Linked DNA regions of Astyanax mexicanus. The protein of the gene in region 1 interacts with the protein of each later gene in a pairwise test. Links are inferred from orthologs where the notes say so. Each region holds a gene or a part of one and is shown on either strand. Other genes may lie near its edges.

Region 1 (8,327 bases):
TGGCCCGTCCCACAGCCCTTACCGGAAATATCCCACACGCGCACGGTCTGGTCCAAACTGGCCGACACCACTAGGTCCTCCGACGGGTGGAACTGAGCGCACATCACATAATGATTATGGCCAGTCAGAACACTAAAAGAAAAAGAGAGAGAGATTATACACTGTTAAAAAAGCATGCATGGCTTAAAAATGTGGTACTTAAAAATGTGTTGCATTGTGGAGTTAAAACCGTGCATAAACACTCAGACAGACTATCACACTCACCACACACAAGTCCTGGATTGCCAGTTCCAGATGCGGATGGTCTGATCATCTGAGGCACTCAGGATCCATGGGTACTCCTGAAACAGAGAAACACAAATACAGAGGTTCAGAATGGAGCTCAAAAAACATATTAAACCTGTAATGTGATTATGATTGTTATATAAAACAGAGTATAGAGAACAACTCACATGGTGGAAGAAGGTAGTGCGGATGTAGTCCAGATGACCCAGCAGGGTGAAAAGACAGCGGCGAAGTTTATAATTCCACACCTGAGACAGACACACAGACACACACACATAGAAGGAGAGAAAGGGAGAGAGAGAGAGAGAGATCAATTGCATGTAGATATTGATCTAGAGTGCATCAAACTGTATAATGTATTTAACTACACTGTGTTCACCACATAGAGCCTGTGGTTTCACCTGGGTGTTGTTTCATTACAGACTATAAATCATCAGTTGATTTGTGTTTATCTGTGTTAGACCTTCTCTGATCATTCATTCATTTTAACAATTTTAACACTGCAGTGACCCTGAAATAATACCAGACAGCACCTTGTGATGGTGAAAGAAAGGGGTTTCTAATAAAGTGGACATTAACTCTGAAACGGTACTGCAACCCATAAAGCAGAAATTCCAGACCTTAATTTTGTAGTCGTCCCCGCCGGAAACAAACAGAGGCTGCTGTTTGTGGAAGTCAATCCCTCTGACTGGCCCTGCACAGCACAAACACACAGGTGTCACACTGCAGGCACAGATACAGTACATTCAGAGAGTAACAACTGGCAGTTTGGTCTTACCATCGTGTTCGTCAAACTTGTCAATGAGGGTGCACATGCGGTAGTCCCAAAGCTGAATGACCCCATTGTGCAAACTGGCGAGGATCCAGGGCCGCTTTGGATGGAAACTCAGCCCTGAAACAGACAATGGGTGTGAACCTATTTTAAACGAAAGATCCAGTTTTTGATTTGAAGCAAATACAGTTATGCCTTAGATGTTACAGTCTTTTTTATCAGTGGTTAATGGTAGTTACATATGTGTACTTTGCTACTGTACTTTTGAAATATTCCGGGCAAAAGTGCCGGAACCACAGCTCTGATATATCAGCTAACAGACTCCTGTGCTGACCAACACATACAGGAGTGATGTACAGAGGAAATGCCATCAACCCAAAGCCTCTGTTGCACTCTGATCCAACAACAGTTTTAATTTCAAGCAAAATATCTGTATAAATTAGGCATGCACAATGACATCAGAATCGGGTAAATATTTTAAACTGATACTTGCTGATGTAGACATTGACCATGCTACTTTACAATTTTATTTATTTTACAATTGTATTTCTTTTTATTACTTTCAATAGGTCTATGCCTTTTTTAATCTATTAATTTCAAAATGAGGATTCAAAGCTGTTATCAGTCTATGTAAGGACCAGTTAACGTAAATAATGTGAAACCAATGATGGAGACACCTTTCATTTTATTCACAGCTAAAAGATGAAATGTAAGGAAAATTAATACTACATTTGTTGCTAAAATTATACTAGGTTGTTTAGTCTCTCTGTTATAAATGTATATTTCGGGATCAACAGATATACAATACCAGTCAAAAGTTTGGACACACCTTCTCATTTAGTGTTTTTCTTCATTTATATATATTTATAACATTTCTTTTATACATTTTAGATTAATATTAACATTAAAACAATTAAGGGACACATATGAAATTATGTGTACATAGCAAACAAATAAAGTGTTTGTCCTCCACAATCCCCTGACCTAAACCTAAGTGAGCTGAACTATTGTTCAGCACCTATAGGAACTACTTCAGTACGCTTTAAAAAACTATTTAAAGTGACTCTACTTCATGAAGACACTGAGACTAAAATACCAAGAGTGTGCAGATCTGTCCTTAAAGCTAAATGTGGCTGGTTTGTAAAACATTTAATTTCACATGTTCCTGCACAGCTTTAATCTTTTCAATATTGCATTTACAATTTACAAAATAATAAGAAAGAAAACACTTTGAATGAGAAGAGGTGTGCCCAAAGATTTGACTGTTGCTGTGTATATGTATAATATTGAATATCGGTCTGAATTCTCACCTAATATTAAAAGTCTAATCGGTGCAAGTTGTGCATCTGTATTTTGAATGTTACAGAAGAAAAACACACTCAGGAATTTGATGCTAAATTTGTCATTCGAGTTAAATTCGAGAGCTCAAAAACTGAAGAAAAACTGACAAATTTGACAACTGAAAAGTTCCATACTTCACTATTAAGTGTATAAAATCTGACATCCATTTCACTTTAATTATATAGATAAATTAAACGGTAATATATTAAAGCTGTTTAATTGTACCGTGACAAGTCTCATACTTAACATTAGTTATGTAACTACAGGTTTAAGGATGCTAGAACTAGGCAGGGGAAGTTAATTAAGTTAATTAATAAAGTTAAAGTTAATTAACATAAATGCTTTTTAAGTAAATGTCGTTTTACATAAATATAAAAAACGTACCTACGTTAGTTAAAAATTATAACTGTATGCTATTTAAAATAATATTACACCAGCTGTCTTAAACTATTAACCCTTTTAACTCTAAAAACACTATAAGCTACAGAGTCTCACTGTGAAGCTAACCTGTGCTAAGCTAAAGCTATGCTAATCAGCTACCTCCTGATTCACAGGCCTCAGTGTTTGTGAATGCAGTTTAAACTCCTGATATTTCACACTATTTAAACATTTAAACAGAAAAAAGCACTTTAATAAGCCTGTGATTACCCCGATACATGTGTTTACGGGTGTTTTCTTTAGCTGTTTAGCTCGGGGTATTCTCAGTTAGCCTGTGTGATGCTAGGCCAGCTACCCGCTGCGGGTCCTGACTGAACTCACCCTTCACTCGGGCGGACTTGGTCTCGAACTTGGTCAGCATGTCGGACGGACTCTGCAGCCTCGCTGAGGGTCGGTTCACTCCAGTAAAATAATGGAATCGCCGCTAAAGCTCCGGTGTCGTAGCCGGTCTGATCCAACAGCAGCGGGCTGCTGGAGGTGCTGCGCTTCCGGAGCTGACACGTCTACACAAACCCGCTCACTCACACTCAGCTCCAGCGCTGCAGCGGAACCTCCACGTCACACTCAGTGTGGGCGAGTCCCAAATCCAGCACATGTCCCCTACCGAGGGGACTACACGGAAGAACCCTCCTTCTTCTTCTTCTTCTTGTTGTGGTTTTATTCCGGTTGGCAAACCAGCGTATTTGGTGCATTACCGCCACCTCTGGACTGGAGTGTGGATCAGGAATAGCTGACAACCCTCAAAACACACACACACACACACAAAATAAAAATAAAAATAAAAATGAAAATAAAAGGATAAAATGACTTATCCATTAATTCTTGTTAATTAATCATGTGTTTTTTTTATAGGAAAACTCACATGACCTGTGCTCAACTGCATTAAACTCTGAAAGTTAAAAGACGCCTTTTCTTTCTGTAGTTGGCTGATAAGTAGTTGCCTGTCTGTCTGGTATTTTGGACAATGAATCAAAACATGTTCTACAGTCTCCTGGCTGTCGCTGCACTCACAGGTCCCATCAACATCCTTCTTCATCTTATAAAGTGTACTTCTGAGCTTTGTGACCAAACCTCATTCTGGAGAACCTTCTTCTCTCTGTTTGTGTTTCTAGGCCTCCCCACTTCATTCTGAATGGCATGGTACTGCCTCCCTGTCTCTCCATCATTCCATATGCGTTGCCATTTACCACAGGTCCTGGCCTTGGCTACACTTTTGATCTCAGCCTTACTGTATTGCATTTCAAGCTCAACGCTGTCCTTCTTTAAGGCCTCCTTTGCTAGCTTGTCAGCCAACTCGTTGCCACTGACCCCTATGTGCGCCGGTACCCATAGAAAAACTGTAACGATTCCAGCCTTGGCCAGATTATTTGCTCTCTGCACTATATCATATATAAGGTCTGGCCTCGAATCAGACTGGCCATTCCTTATGCTCATAAGCGCTGAGCTGGAGTCAGATGCAACCACCACCTTCTGTGGCTTGTTGACCTCAACCCACCGTAGTGCCAACCATATTGCAATCAGCTCACCTGTATACACTGCCAGGTTATCATTCACTCTTTTCGCCATTACAGCCTGAACCCTTGGGATGGCATAGGCTACACCAACCTTTTCATCCATTTTAGACGCGTCTGTATAGATAACCACTGATTCGGCATAGTTTTCCCCCATGTACCACATCACGGTGCCAGACATCCCAAGTTGCAAAAGTTGATTTCAAGGAGGTTACCCAGGTTACTCAGTTTTTAGCCTACACTAGATTTACACTTCATTAAATTACTTAGTTTTCTTTATCAGTAAAAAGGGCATACACGCATTTTAACTTGGCAGTTGAATACAGGACCTTGTGTTAAAGGTCTTTAGGCCTACAAATAAGCTTTTTGAGAAAAGAGTCTTTTTGAGAATACAGGCTGTTTGTATATAGTTTGTTTGTTAAACTATTAACTTTTTTATATTTTAATTTAATAATCATATTTGTATTCTTACTTATTCCTATTTCCACTTTTGAGTATTATATTCACATCCTATGTCTAGATACTTTTTCACATAAAAGAGTTGTTGTATCAGTATAATTCTAATTTAACCAAGGTGGGGTATTGAAATTAATCACAATTAGATAATCTTTATTAATTTACATAAGCAAAGGATATTTTTTTAAAAAAATAGTATGCTTTAGTGTAAGTTTGAAGACACATGAAACATTTCTATTTTTTCCCCCCTCACACATCAATTTTAGCCAGTATCATTAGCTTAAAAAATATTAACATGTCCACCCGTTATGTTCTATTGCCCCCCCAAGCAAGTCAGTCTAGAACTAGGGCTGTGGTGCATACTATATTTACAAGGTCATTCAGGATTTTAGCAGTCTGATATATTGTTTTTTTAAGTCTGCCAGTTTTTGAAACAAAATGAGAATAGGAGATAATGCCCTGAGAAATAAACCTAGTGCCATTTAACTATTTCAACTAAATATCAAAAGAACAAATGATACACAGATTTGTCATATGCAAATGTTTATTCAGTATTGTCATTGTCTGCTGATACCTGTGCCTCTTGGATATTATAAGATTCACCATTGCACTGCCCTTTATCTGTTAGATTTTTTTTTGTAACTTTATTATTTTCCCCAGTTTTCACACTACCCCCTGTGAGGGACGATACAAAAAAGCTTAATGAACACAAACGGACAGTACAGACTGATACAAACGTGTAAAAAAAAAAAAAAAAGTAAATTAAGAATATGTTAGAGAATAAAGGCATATTTTAAAAAAATTTATATTTATCATCTACAGTTAGATGATATTCTGGGTTTGTTAGAGCACCAGCAGGCGCTAAAAATAGTTTTATACTGAAAAATTTACTCATTATGTCAACACAGAACAATATCATATGTTTAGGCATTGCAGATTAAATGAGTAAAGAATTTAAACTCCAAGTATTAACCTTTCAAACCTCTGCATGTAATTCCAGCATCAGCAACCAGTCAGCTCACAGTAGCAGTAATGCTTTAGCCTTTACTGCATAAAACCTGTTTACTACAGAAAAATGAACAAGTTTTACTCTCTTGCACATATTAAAAACAAGAATTGTTATGCTCGATTAGCTTTTTGTGCTAATAAGCACCTCCTCCTCCCCAACATTAGTAACTGATTGTTTTGTAAATTAAACTGTTAATTTCACACAGTGCATCTCATAATTTTATATTTTAGTGTATAGTATGTAATTTTTATAATAAACTTCTCCATAGAGATGAATGGTGGAGTAACAGCTCAGCACATTGTGATTTATTACTCCAGTCTGAAAGTGGAATTTCACTAATAGTGGGACATTATAAAAATGGTAATGTTGTATAAATGTAATAGTAACAAAAAGTCACAGTTTTCAAGGTTTTTTCAAATAAAAAAATTGTATTAATGAAATTGATAAAAAATTTATGCTGTGTTCCATCAGAACCAAGTTATTAAATGCAGAGTATTCTAATAAGGACCCCTGAATGTTTGACTTCTAACCCAGTCAACTCGGGTGTGATCTTATTTTCATCTCAGACATCTCAGCAGTGTTATTCTAGCAGCTCTTACTGTAAACTAAATAATCACACATCAGATACATGTCTTGACTGAATGACATTCTGGGGTCAGAGATCAACAATGTTCATTTGATTTTTCACTGAACATGTCCCTTATTTAGTTATAAAAGAAATTATCTGTTGCACACGGCTCACCAGATTACATCACATTTACAACTGAACAGAGGATCTTTTCAACTGATACAAAAACACAGAGAACCAAAGAAAATTTGATTAATGTTTTTTATTTCTTCACTGTAGTTGCGTATTCTGTTCACAGTGTAGTGGACAGGTATAACTGTGTACTGTGAGGAAAGGTTGAGCTGATTTAAGTGCGTAGGTGTTCAATGAACTCCTGAGTGTTGAGGTTATGTGCTCTTCTCTCATTGAAATCTATGCTAACAACCATATCTACATACCTTAAACTCAGCTTTCAAAATAAAAGCACAATCTTTAAGAATTTTAATTTGAACATTCCCCCATTATCTGAGGTACAATGGTAGATAAATATCATTAAACACAACTCAGAGCTGAATCAGAGCATAATCATCTGTAAAATTACACTTTTACAATGAACTGGTATTAACAGGTTTGTAATGGAAGCAGGGTGTGTGTATTAATTCATCCCTACAGTATTTGCAGCATTTTAGTATACAGGTAATTACAATAGACAATATGGGTTTTCTATCGTTAAAGAAAAGCCATTTAGTCAAACAATGCTTACAGTAGAAGTCAATGGCTATGTAAGGGGGTGCTTTATTCTTTTTTGCTGCATGTTTAGGAAATGATTAATTACCAGACACAAATTTAGGTATTAAAGTCAAATAATAATAATAATAATAATATTTAATCAAAAATACTTATAATGGACAGCAATGGAACACAATTTTAGCATGGTCCCACTTGCTTCTATAATAAGTCAGATTCAAAGCAACATTGTTAAAATTATATTAGTCTGAGATAATCAATCATTTGCTACAAATAAAGCAGATTAGGATGAACATCTTTAAAGCATCTGCTCACTGAACCCTATTATAAGTGAGTTTTAGATAAATGGTTTTCTGTTCTTATCCAGGCTCATGTTGAAATGATTGTCTGTAGTAATTGACCGTATGCTACTGCTAATGCTACTGTACAGATTTCACTTTTAAAACCACTGGATTATACCTTTAATATTGCAAAAATGCCTAATATGTCCACTTGTAAAGAATTTCAGAAGGCAAAACAGATCAGACGCATCACTTCTATCCACTTTTAGATGATCAAAACATCATCCAGCATACAATTCACTGTAATCAGACAAAAGGAAAATACACAAGGCTACCTAAACCATGCTAATCAGGCTCACTCAGGGAGAAAAGTGAAAACCACTTAATTTTAAAGGCTGAAATATTAAGAAAATCAGTTTTGGTCACTGATTAATTATGAAAAAGAAACGGAACAATGATTCAGCATGTTTAAAAAAAATAAACATGCTGAAAATATAATGTATAAAAATTATTAACCATTTAAATTACAGCTTATTAATTTCGCAGTTGCTATAATTATTGATCCAGTGTCCCTCCTTGGAGTCACACTTTAAAATCCCATTCGCTCACCTCCCACGGTGTTCTCATCTCTATCTTTAACGGAACAGGCACGCGGTTCTAGCTGCTCGACTTGTCATCAGGTGAAAAAGTGCAAAATTAGTTACTATGAGCAAGTTGAACCACCAGAGTAAACCCCACCCTCACCCGCAGAAAGAATGTTACTGGGCTGCTCCAGCGTGACTACAGGGAACGAAGAGTGAGCAGAGGAGGGGGAGGCAGGTTTAGGGTTTGATGGGTGCAAACACACACACACATACAAACACTGCAGCCTCACATCACTGAACACTGATCAGCCCCGGCCGCACCCAGACCTCCGGGCAGGTGCAGTGACTCCGGGTCA
Region 2 (7,580 bases), about 7.9 Mb from region 1:
TTTTCCACTTACCTTAATGCAATAAGTCTTGCTTGACCTGCACTTACCCACCCTCTCGGCCTTGGCTCCCATCCCAGCACTGTCTTCGGCTCTGGTGATGGAAATCGTGTAAAAAAAGTAAATAGAGGATATTCATCAAGACTCACTCACCGAGACAAAAGTACACTAGGCAGTGATTTATAAGACTCATTTTCAAAGCACTGGATGGGCCAAAAGCGAATAGATTAAACACTCATTTCAAGAATTCACCACATACCGTTTAAATGACATTTAGTCCCAGGGAATTTGGTTTGATCTGATAAAATACTGCTCTAAAATGATGATCTGGCTTCTCTAAGGCCAGATATTGTAAAATTCCCTTGGAATAGCACTTAAAATGTTCTGCATTGTAGCTTAATACTAAAGTCATCCAAACTATGAAGAAAAACATATGGAATTATTTAGTAAACCAAAAAGAAAGGGTCAAACAAACCACAATATGTTTCATATTTTAGATTAATTTTTGCTTAGATAACAGCTTTGCACATCTTGTCTGGATTTTCTCAGTCAGCTTTATGAGGTAGAGTCACCTGTAATTCAAGCTTTCAGTTAACAGCTGTGCTGAACTTGTCAAGAGTTAATTACTTTAATTTCTTGTCCTCTTAATGTGTTTGAGAGCATCAGTTGTAAAGTTGTGAAGAGGTAGAGTTACAGGTATACAGTGAATAGCTCTATTTAGGCTATGTTCTAATTAATATTATGGCAAGATCTACTCAACTAAGTAAAGAAAAAATACTTGAAGAAATGAAGGTTAGTCACGGAACATCAAAAACGAACATCAAAACCAGCCTTAGAAACCACAAGTTAACAGCTCCCCAGATATGAGACACCTAAATGCTTGACAGTTTGTTTAACACTTTTGAGTAATTACATGATAAATTATGTGTTCCTTCTTACTCTAGATGACTTCAGCATTTTCTTAAAGCTCTGTTTTTCCTGTTCACACAACACTAAAAAAAAAGTTTTAAAATCTCCACCAAGCTTAGTTTTCCATCAAAAACAGCATCTTCATGTGGTTGGGAGGCCAAACTGCAGAAATAATTAAGAAACTCAAGAAGTACATGTGGACATGGCTTTAAATACCTCCTCATGTTGTACCTTTAAACTCATTCACACTATTTCTACACTGCGTCTAAGCAAGCATAATAAGCTAGATAACTAGATTTGTGTCAGTCCTGTTACTGTCTGTCCGCCTGCCACAGACTCTGGTTCTCTCAATAAAGACTCCATTTCCCAGGATACACCTGTGTCGTCATCCTTCTAGTTAGTTCACGTGTCTTTCCCCAGTATAAATAGCCCTTGTTTTTCCTATTCTAATCTATTCCCATAGGTAACTTCACATTTCTTTTGTGCATGACTGTATGTTACCAACCCTTTTTGTATCTCTGACCATCCTTTTTCGCAAAGCCTTTTGTTGTTTAGTTAGCCTACTCGTTGCCTACCTGTTTTGTTTATTTGACCACCCTTTTGCCTTGCCCTTTTAATTATATACTGGATTTCCTGTGTATGATCTCCTTGTCTACTCACTCTGGTATGCTGTTTGTTTACACTGTCCTTTGGTTACTGATCCTGCCTGTCCCTGATTATTCTTATAAGTGCAACCTCTTATTTAATAAATTGTGTGTTTGGTATCACTTACGGATAAAAGTCAATATTGTTACAAATATATAATGAATTTCTTTAATCCATGATTTGGAGTCACATTCAGACACATATACAGTCAGAATCTCTTTATAGTTGGGGGCAGGACAACAGAGAGACAAACTTACATATTGGATTATTAAAGAAAGGCCAAGAACTGATTGAACCATTGCTATGCCTATCCATGCCCACAGTCTCATTGTGTTTGACTGTACAGATCAGACTTCACCGGAGCCAAAGCCTCTGTGTTTGAGGAGACGTAGCTCAGTGTGAATGAGAGAGGGCAGGAACAGGCCACGGCACTGTTGACTGACGAGCTTGTCTTTACAGACTCTGATCACCTGGGAGGGCGAGGAATTGGTGTGTATACAAAAGGGTGAGAAGGCCAACCGTGGATGGAAGCACTGGCTAGAGGGAGATAAACTGCACTTGGTGAGCCTCCAATTGCTTTGTTTTACAGGGTAACATTTAATTGCACATTTAAATCGTTCAAATCAACTAACCAAGCACTGACTATATATAGTAAAGTAATACTGGATAGGACCTGCCTTCACATTGAAAACAGCTTTAGTATTTTGTAGCACGAATTCCATAAGATGTTGAAGGCATTGCATTGAGATTCGGGTCCATGGTCACATGACTGAATCATGCAATTGTATTTAATGCAGCGAATCTCATGTTCTTCCAAATCACAAAAATGTTTTACTGGATTCAGATCCACAGAATAGAAAAGGCCTCTAAAAACACTCATTCAGTACATTTTAGTATTCCAGATATTTTTGGTAGAAATGAGATGATCAAAGACGAAAAAAATAACCATTCATACTGTTATCAGGGAAAAAAAAAGTTGTATATTACATATTATGTTATTTTGCATTCTCACACTAACATACTACATTTCCTTTTTATCATTTATGATCGCAGGAGCTGTACTGTGAAGATGTTGTTTGTCATCAAGTGTTCAAGAAACAGGGTTAGTGTTCACTCTCTGTGCTCACTAAAAAAATGATAAATGTAAAATAACTGTATTGGCAATTTATATCAATAAAGAAACCACAAAATAAAAACACAAATGGATTTGTATGTGTGTTTTACATGTATTTTTCAACAAGACAATAACTAAGACTAACTTGTCATTAGTTATTAATTGCTTGAATTTCTTACCTCTTAATGTGTTTGAGAGCATCAGTTGTAAAGTTGTGAAGAGGTAGAGTTGGTATACAGTAAATAGCCCTATTTGAGTAACGTTCTAATCCATATTATAGCAAGAACAATTCAACTATTCAAGTAAAGAAAATAAATTGACTTTGCTTTGAATAAAGGTCAGTTAATCTAAAAAAAATTAAAACTTTGAAAGTATCCTTAAATGCAGTCGAAAAACCATCAAACATGTTATGATGAAACTGGCTCTCATCAGGACTGCCCCAGTCAAAAGTTTGGACACACATTCATTTTCATAATTCATTTTCTACATTGTAGATTAATATTAAAGACATCAAAGCAATTAAGGGACACATATAGAATTACGTAGTAAACAGCAAAAGAAGTGTTTGTCCTCCACAATCCCCTGATGTAAACCTGATCAACCGAGATGGGTGACCTCCAGGAACTCCTTCAAGATGCTGAGAAAACTATTCCAGAAGACTCTACCTCATAAAGTCACTGAGATTAAAATACCAAAAGAAGTTAAATGTGGCTACTTAGAAGAATCTAAAGTGAAGTATTAAACATATTTAGGTTTGTTTAAGACTTTATGTTTACTATACAATTTCACATGCATTCCTGTATAGCTTTGATGAAGTTTATTATCCCTTTCAGACCTGGATTATCCACAGTGATGGAAAAAAAAATGTAAGAATGCTGTTTTTTGTCTGTAGAGCACAGAAAAGAAGACTACTCTACTAATTTTCTACTAAATTTAACAGCAAATAAATAAAATTAACTACAATATATATATATTTTTTTTACATTGTATTGAAAGACTGTGTGTAGTATTGTATATCTCATATTGACCTTTTTTATTTCATAAATCATCCCTAAATAATTAAAAAAGCATAAGTAAAAAAGTGATTAAATAAGTAAAATGAGCTGTTTCTTTGCCTCAATGGGTCTAGTAGTATTTTTTCCTGTTTCATTGGTTTATAAATGTTTTAATTGGCTGGCTCATGATCTATTCTGATGAACAACAGCTCTCAAATATTTTGAACAATTTAACATTTTGACAGACAGACAGACAGACAGATAGATAGATGCTTTATTGATCCCAGATGGAAATACTCCACACTCAGTAGCAGGTATACATAGTACACAGACGTTTCAAAACAGAAAGTAGAGTCTTATAGAAAGTAGAGTCTTTTAGTTGGTATGTAATGGAGGTAGTGTGGTTAAATTATGCCCACTGTAATGGATACAGGGTCTGAAAGGGTTAAATTCATCCTTTACCATTCAGAGTTGTGCAGGACTGTAGTTTCTGCTCTGGATCTCCTCAGTCCTCCATGTGTCGCGTCATCGGCTCCCACCACACGTTTGAGGAAGTTCCACGTCAGATGAGAGTGTGTGTATCTTACTGTGTGTGTGTGTGAGGGAGTGTGTGTGTCCAGCTGGAGCTTTAGTGAGCTGCGGATACAGCAGCAGCAGCAGATCTGCGATTAGAAAGAGCGAAAACCCACTAAAAGCAGCAGAATGGTGAGTACAGCAGCTCCGCTCCGGTTAAGTTATACACAGCGCGTTGATGCAGTCTGTCAGAGCGCAGATCTCCCGCAGCTGAGTTTAGCTTTAGGTTTAGTTAGCGATGCTAAGCTAGCGGAGCTAAAGGCCACATACACAGACTGAGCAACGTAGCGTAAACGCTAGCCAAGTTAGCTAAGATAGTTAGCTGACCATGTATTCAGTCTGTGAACGAAATAATGCTATAATTTGGGCGTTTTCCTTTTTAAAAACGTACTAATAACAACTTCAAAGGCTTCAATTTGTAACCTAACTGTCTTTTCGGCTGTGAACCTGGTTAAACAACGAATTTGAAGCTAGTTAGCTTCAATGCTAATTCCAATATTTATCCCATTGAACGCAAGCTAGCTGGCTGCCCGGCTAACTAGCATTAGCTCGCTAGCTATCTCTCACAGTTAGCTTTAATAATTAGCTAGCGTTAGCTCTCTGAGTCCAGATGTTGAAGTTTTGTGATGTTGAGACGATTAACTATAAATATGAAGTTATTTAGTGAGCTAATTAAACTGCAGGTTGCCGTGATATTAAATATTGAGCTGCAGAGTTAGCTTAGCTTGCTAAAGTCAAAGCTAACCCGACTAAACTAGCTTAAGAGAAGCTGAGAGAGTTGACATTAATGACGTGGTGGTTTGCTAAGCTAGCTAACATCTAAACTATTTAAACTAACTATTAACTTAATGTTTTAACGTTGTATTTGTAAAAACGTATAGTTTGCAAACTATATACAGCTCTGGAAAAAATTGAAACCACTTAAGTTGCCGAATTAGTTTCTCTGATTTTTCTATTTATAGTTATATGTTTAAGTGAAATTAACATTGTTGTTTTATTCTATAAATATAAGTTACTGTCATTTAGAGCATTTTGCAGAAAATAAGATATGGCTGAAATAACAAAAACGATGCAGAAAAAACAGGTTCATATTCATAAAGTTTTAGAAGTTCAGAAATCAAAATCTGGCGAAATTACCCTGTTTTTTTAATCACAGTTTTTATGCATCTTGGCATGTTCTCCTCCACCAGTTTTACACACTGCTTTTTAATGCCACTCCTGGTGCAAATATTCAATCAGTTCAGCTTGGTTTGTTGGCTTGTGATTATCCGTCTTCCTCTTGAGGTTTTCAATTTGGTAAAATCAAAGAAACTCACCATTATAAAGAGGTCTCTCATTTTTTCCCAGAGCTGCATGTAAGCAGGTTATATTTAACTAAACTAGTTAACCTTTCTTAAGTGTTCATTTTTTCCATGTTTTAACATTTCGCCATAGGGTAATAACACAATAATAACGTAGAGAGAGGCTATATTTCATTACATGTATCAATACATGTATCCTATTCTATACTGCTCCTATCGAAATACATGTTTCTGTCATATCCACAGTAAGCATATTGAGGTTATCACCAGTACTTAAAGAACACTGACCCAACAGCTTTTTCATGCAGAGTATAGTGATTCTTATTTAATTTGTGCTGAACATTATTCCATTAAACATGATTTATTACACGTTGTAATGAAAAGTACAGTTGGGTCGGTGTTCTTTAAGTACAGGTAATAACCTTAAAATGTGTATTGTTGATATGGTAAAAAAAAAAAGGTGTCATGATACGATAAGCTATCAATATGTTGTCCATCTCTAACAGTGGTTATATGTGCCTAGCTATGGAGGTGTTGGCAGTCTGATCATATTGGTATTGCACTGGTCACAAATAATCCATGATAGAGCTGGACAATATGTTGTTAGTTTATCATATTGTGAGACCTTTTCTTATGATATCGTTTGTAAGCATTTTGGGGTATAAGAACACTTCATGTCATATGTGTTTAGAAAAGCATATTGTTTATAATGGTAAAAACTGTCCTCTTTATTCTTTCATTCTTAATATATTTGTGTTAACAACTGGGTGAACAATTTTCCCCCTTGTAGCCTCTGAGGCTGGACATCAAGCGCAAGCTCACGGCTCGGTCCGACCGTGTCAAGAGCGTGGACCTTCATCCCACGGAGCCATGGATGCTGGCCAGTCTGTACAACGGCAGCGTCTGCGTCTGGAACCATGAAACACAAGTAAGTGTCGAACCTCTTTGTGTAGACAGTTTATTTACAAACTGCAAACTGTAAAGATTCTGCTTTATGTTATTCAAGTCTGACCTCAGTCTGACCAAGTCTGATTTCAGTAGTTTAGAGAAAAAAATATTGAACTGTTTTAATATAAAGTTTTCTCTGATTGTTTTGTAGACCTTGGTGAAGACGTTTGAAGTGTGCGACCTGCCAGTACGAGCCTCAAAGTTTGTGGCCAGGAAAAACTGGGTTATCACTGGAGCAGTAAGTAGTAGCTGTGTTTAGTTGTGATAATAATATGTTCATTAAATACATGCATATATCATCTATTGCTTATGAATCAATATTCATTATATCAGGCATGATGTTTTCTTGGACCTGGTGTGAATTGCTTTTTTTCTGCCCTCTGTCTTTTAGGATGATATGCAGATTCGGGTTTTCAACTACAACACACTAGAACGGGTCCATATGTTCGAGGCTCATTCGGATTATATCCGCTGCATTGCTGTGCACCCCACCCAGCCCTACATCCTTACTAGTAGTGGTATGTACAGGTTTACTTTCACATGTTCTATATGTACAGAGATTTTAATGATGGCATCAGTCTACACAGATTTAGACCAGTTTTGACTGATTGATGATTTTGTCAGAGCTGATTCATTTTTTTTGGCATATCCTACAACATTTTTCTTGATATTGACCAATCAGAGGATGAAGTGCTGTTACATATGTAAAAATAAGGAAGAAAAAGAGAGAAAGAAACTATTGCTACCGTTTTCCTTACTAGTATGTTTTACTTTTCCATTTCCAAGTACAAAGAATTTTTTTCCCAGTCATTTCTCACCTAGACCTTCTGTTTACATACACTGAAGCTGGTAGCTGTAGCTATATTCATATAATATTACTGTATTTAAGGTAATACTACCTTAGGTAAGGCGCACTTTCCCACATAAGTTTCCCAAAAATCATCAGTGCGCCTTATAATCCAGTGTGCCTTATGTAGGAATTCTACCAGTCAGGTTGTTAGGAGCAGTAAAGCCACTCCGCTGCAATACATTGTTATAAGAGTGTGTTTTCAGTGAAGTTTCTCCAGCACTAAGGCTGGGTGCAGCAGCACTAACTGC

The links. The genes of interacting proteins can lie anywhere in the genome.
Region 2: the proteins of copa (region 1) and copb2 interact in a two-hybrid assay, tested with the Homo sapiens proteins (2 studies listed by BioGRID, with this or other methods). The link is inferred for Astyanax mexicanus from reciprocal best matches to the Homo sapiens genes COPA and COPB2.

Annotation. Positions count from the first base shown.
Region 1 is NC_064415.1:44,436,355-44,444,681, reverse strand, and holds the start of copa (coatomer subunit alpha), read right to left. Parts: upstream 3,376-8,327; 5' UTR 3,198-3,375; coding exon 3,158-3,197; intron 1,178-3,157; coding exon 1,064-1,177; intron 980-1,063; coding exon 906-979; intron 534-905; coding exon 453-533; intron 342-452; coding exon 265-341; intron 133-264; coding exon 23-132; intron 1-22. Other genes in the region: pex19 (peroxisomal biogenesis factor 19), read right to left, coding at 8,258-8,327. UniProt on the Homo sapiens protein: The coatomer is a cytosolic protein complex that binds to dilysine motifs and reversibly associates with Golgi non-clathrin-coated vesicles, which further mediate biosynthetic protein transport from the ER, via the Golgi up to the trans Golgi network.
Region 2 is NC_064415.1:52,355,969-52,363,548, reverse strand, and holds the start of copb2 (coatomer subunit beta'), read left to right. Parts: upstream 1-4,210; 5' UTR 4,211-4,362; coding exon 4,363-4,365; intron 4,366-6,324; coding exon 6,325-6,462; intron 6,463-6,633; coding exon 6,634-6,720; intron 6,721-6,873; coding exon 6,874-7,000; intron 7,001-7,580. Other genes in the region: rbp2b (retinol-binding protein 2b), read left to right, coding at 2,011-2,112, 2,605-2,658. UniProt on the Homo sapiens protein: The coatomer is a cytosolic protein complex that binds to dilysine motifs and reversibly associates with Golgi non-clathrin-coated vesicles, which further mediate biosynthetic protein transport from the ER, via the Golgi up to the trans Golgi network.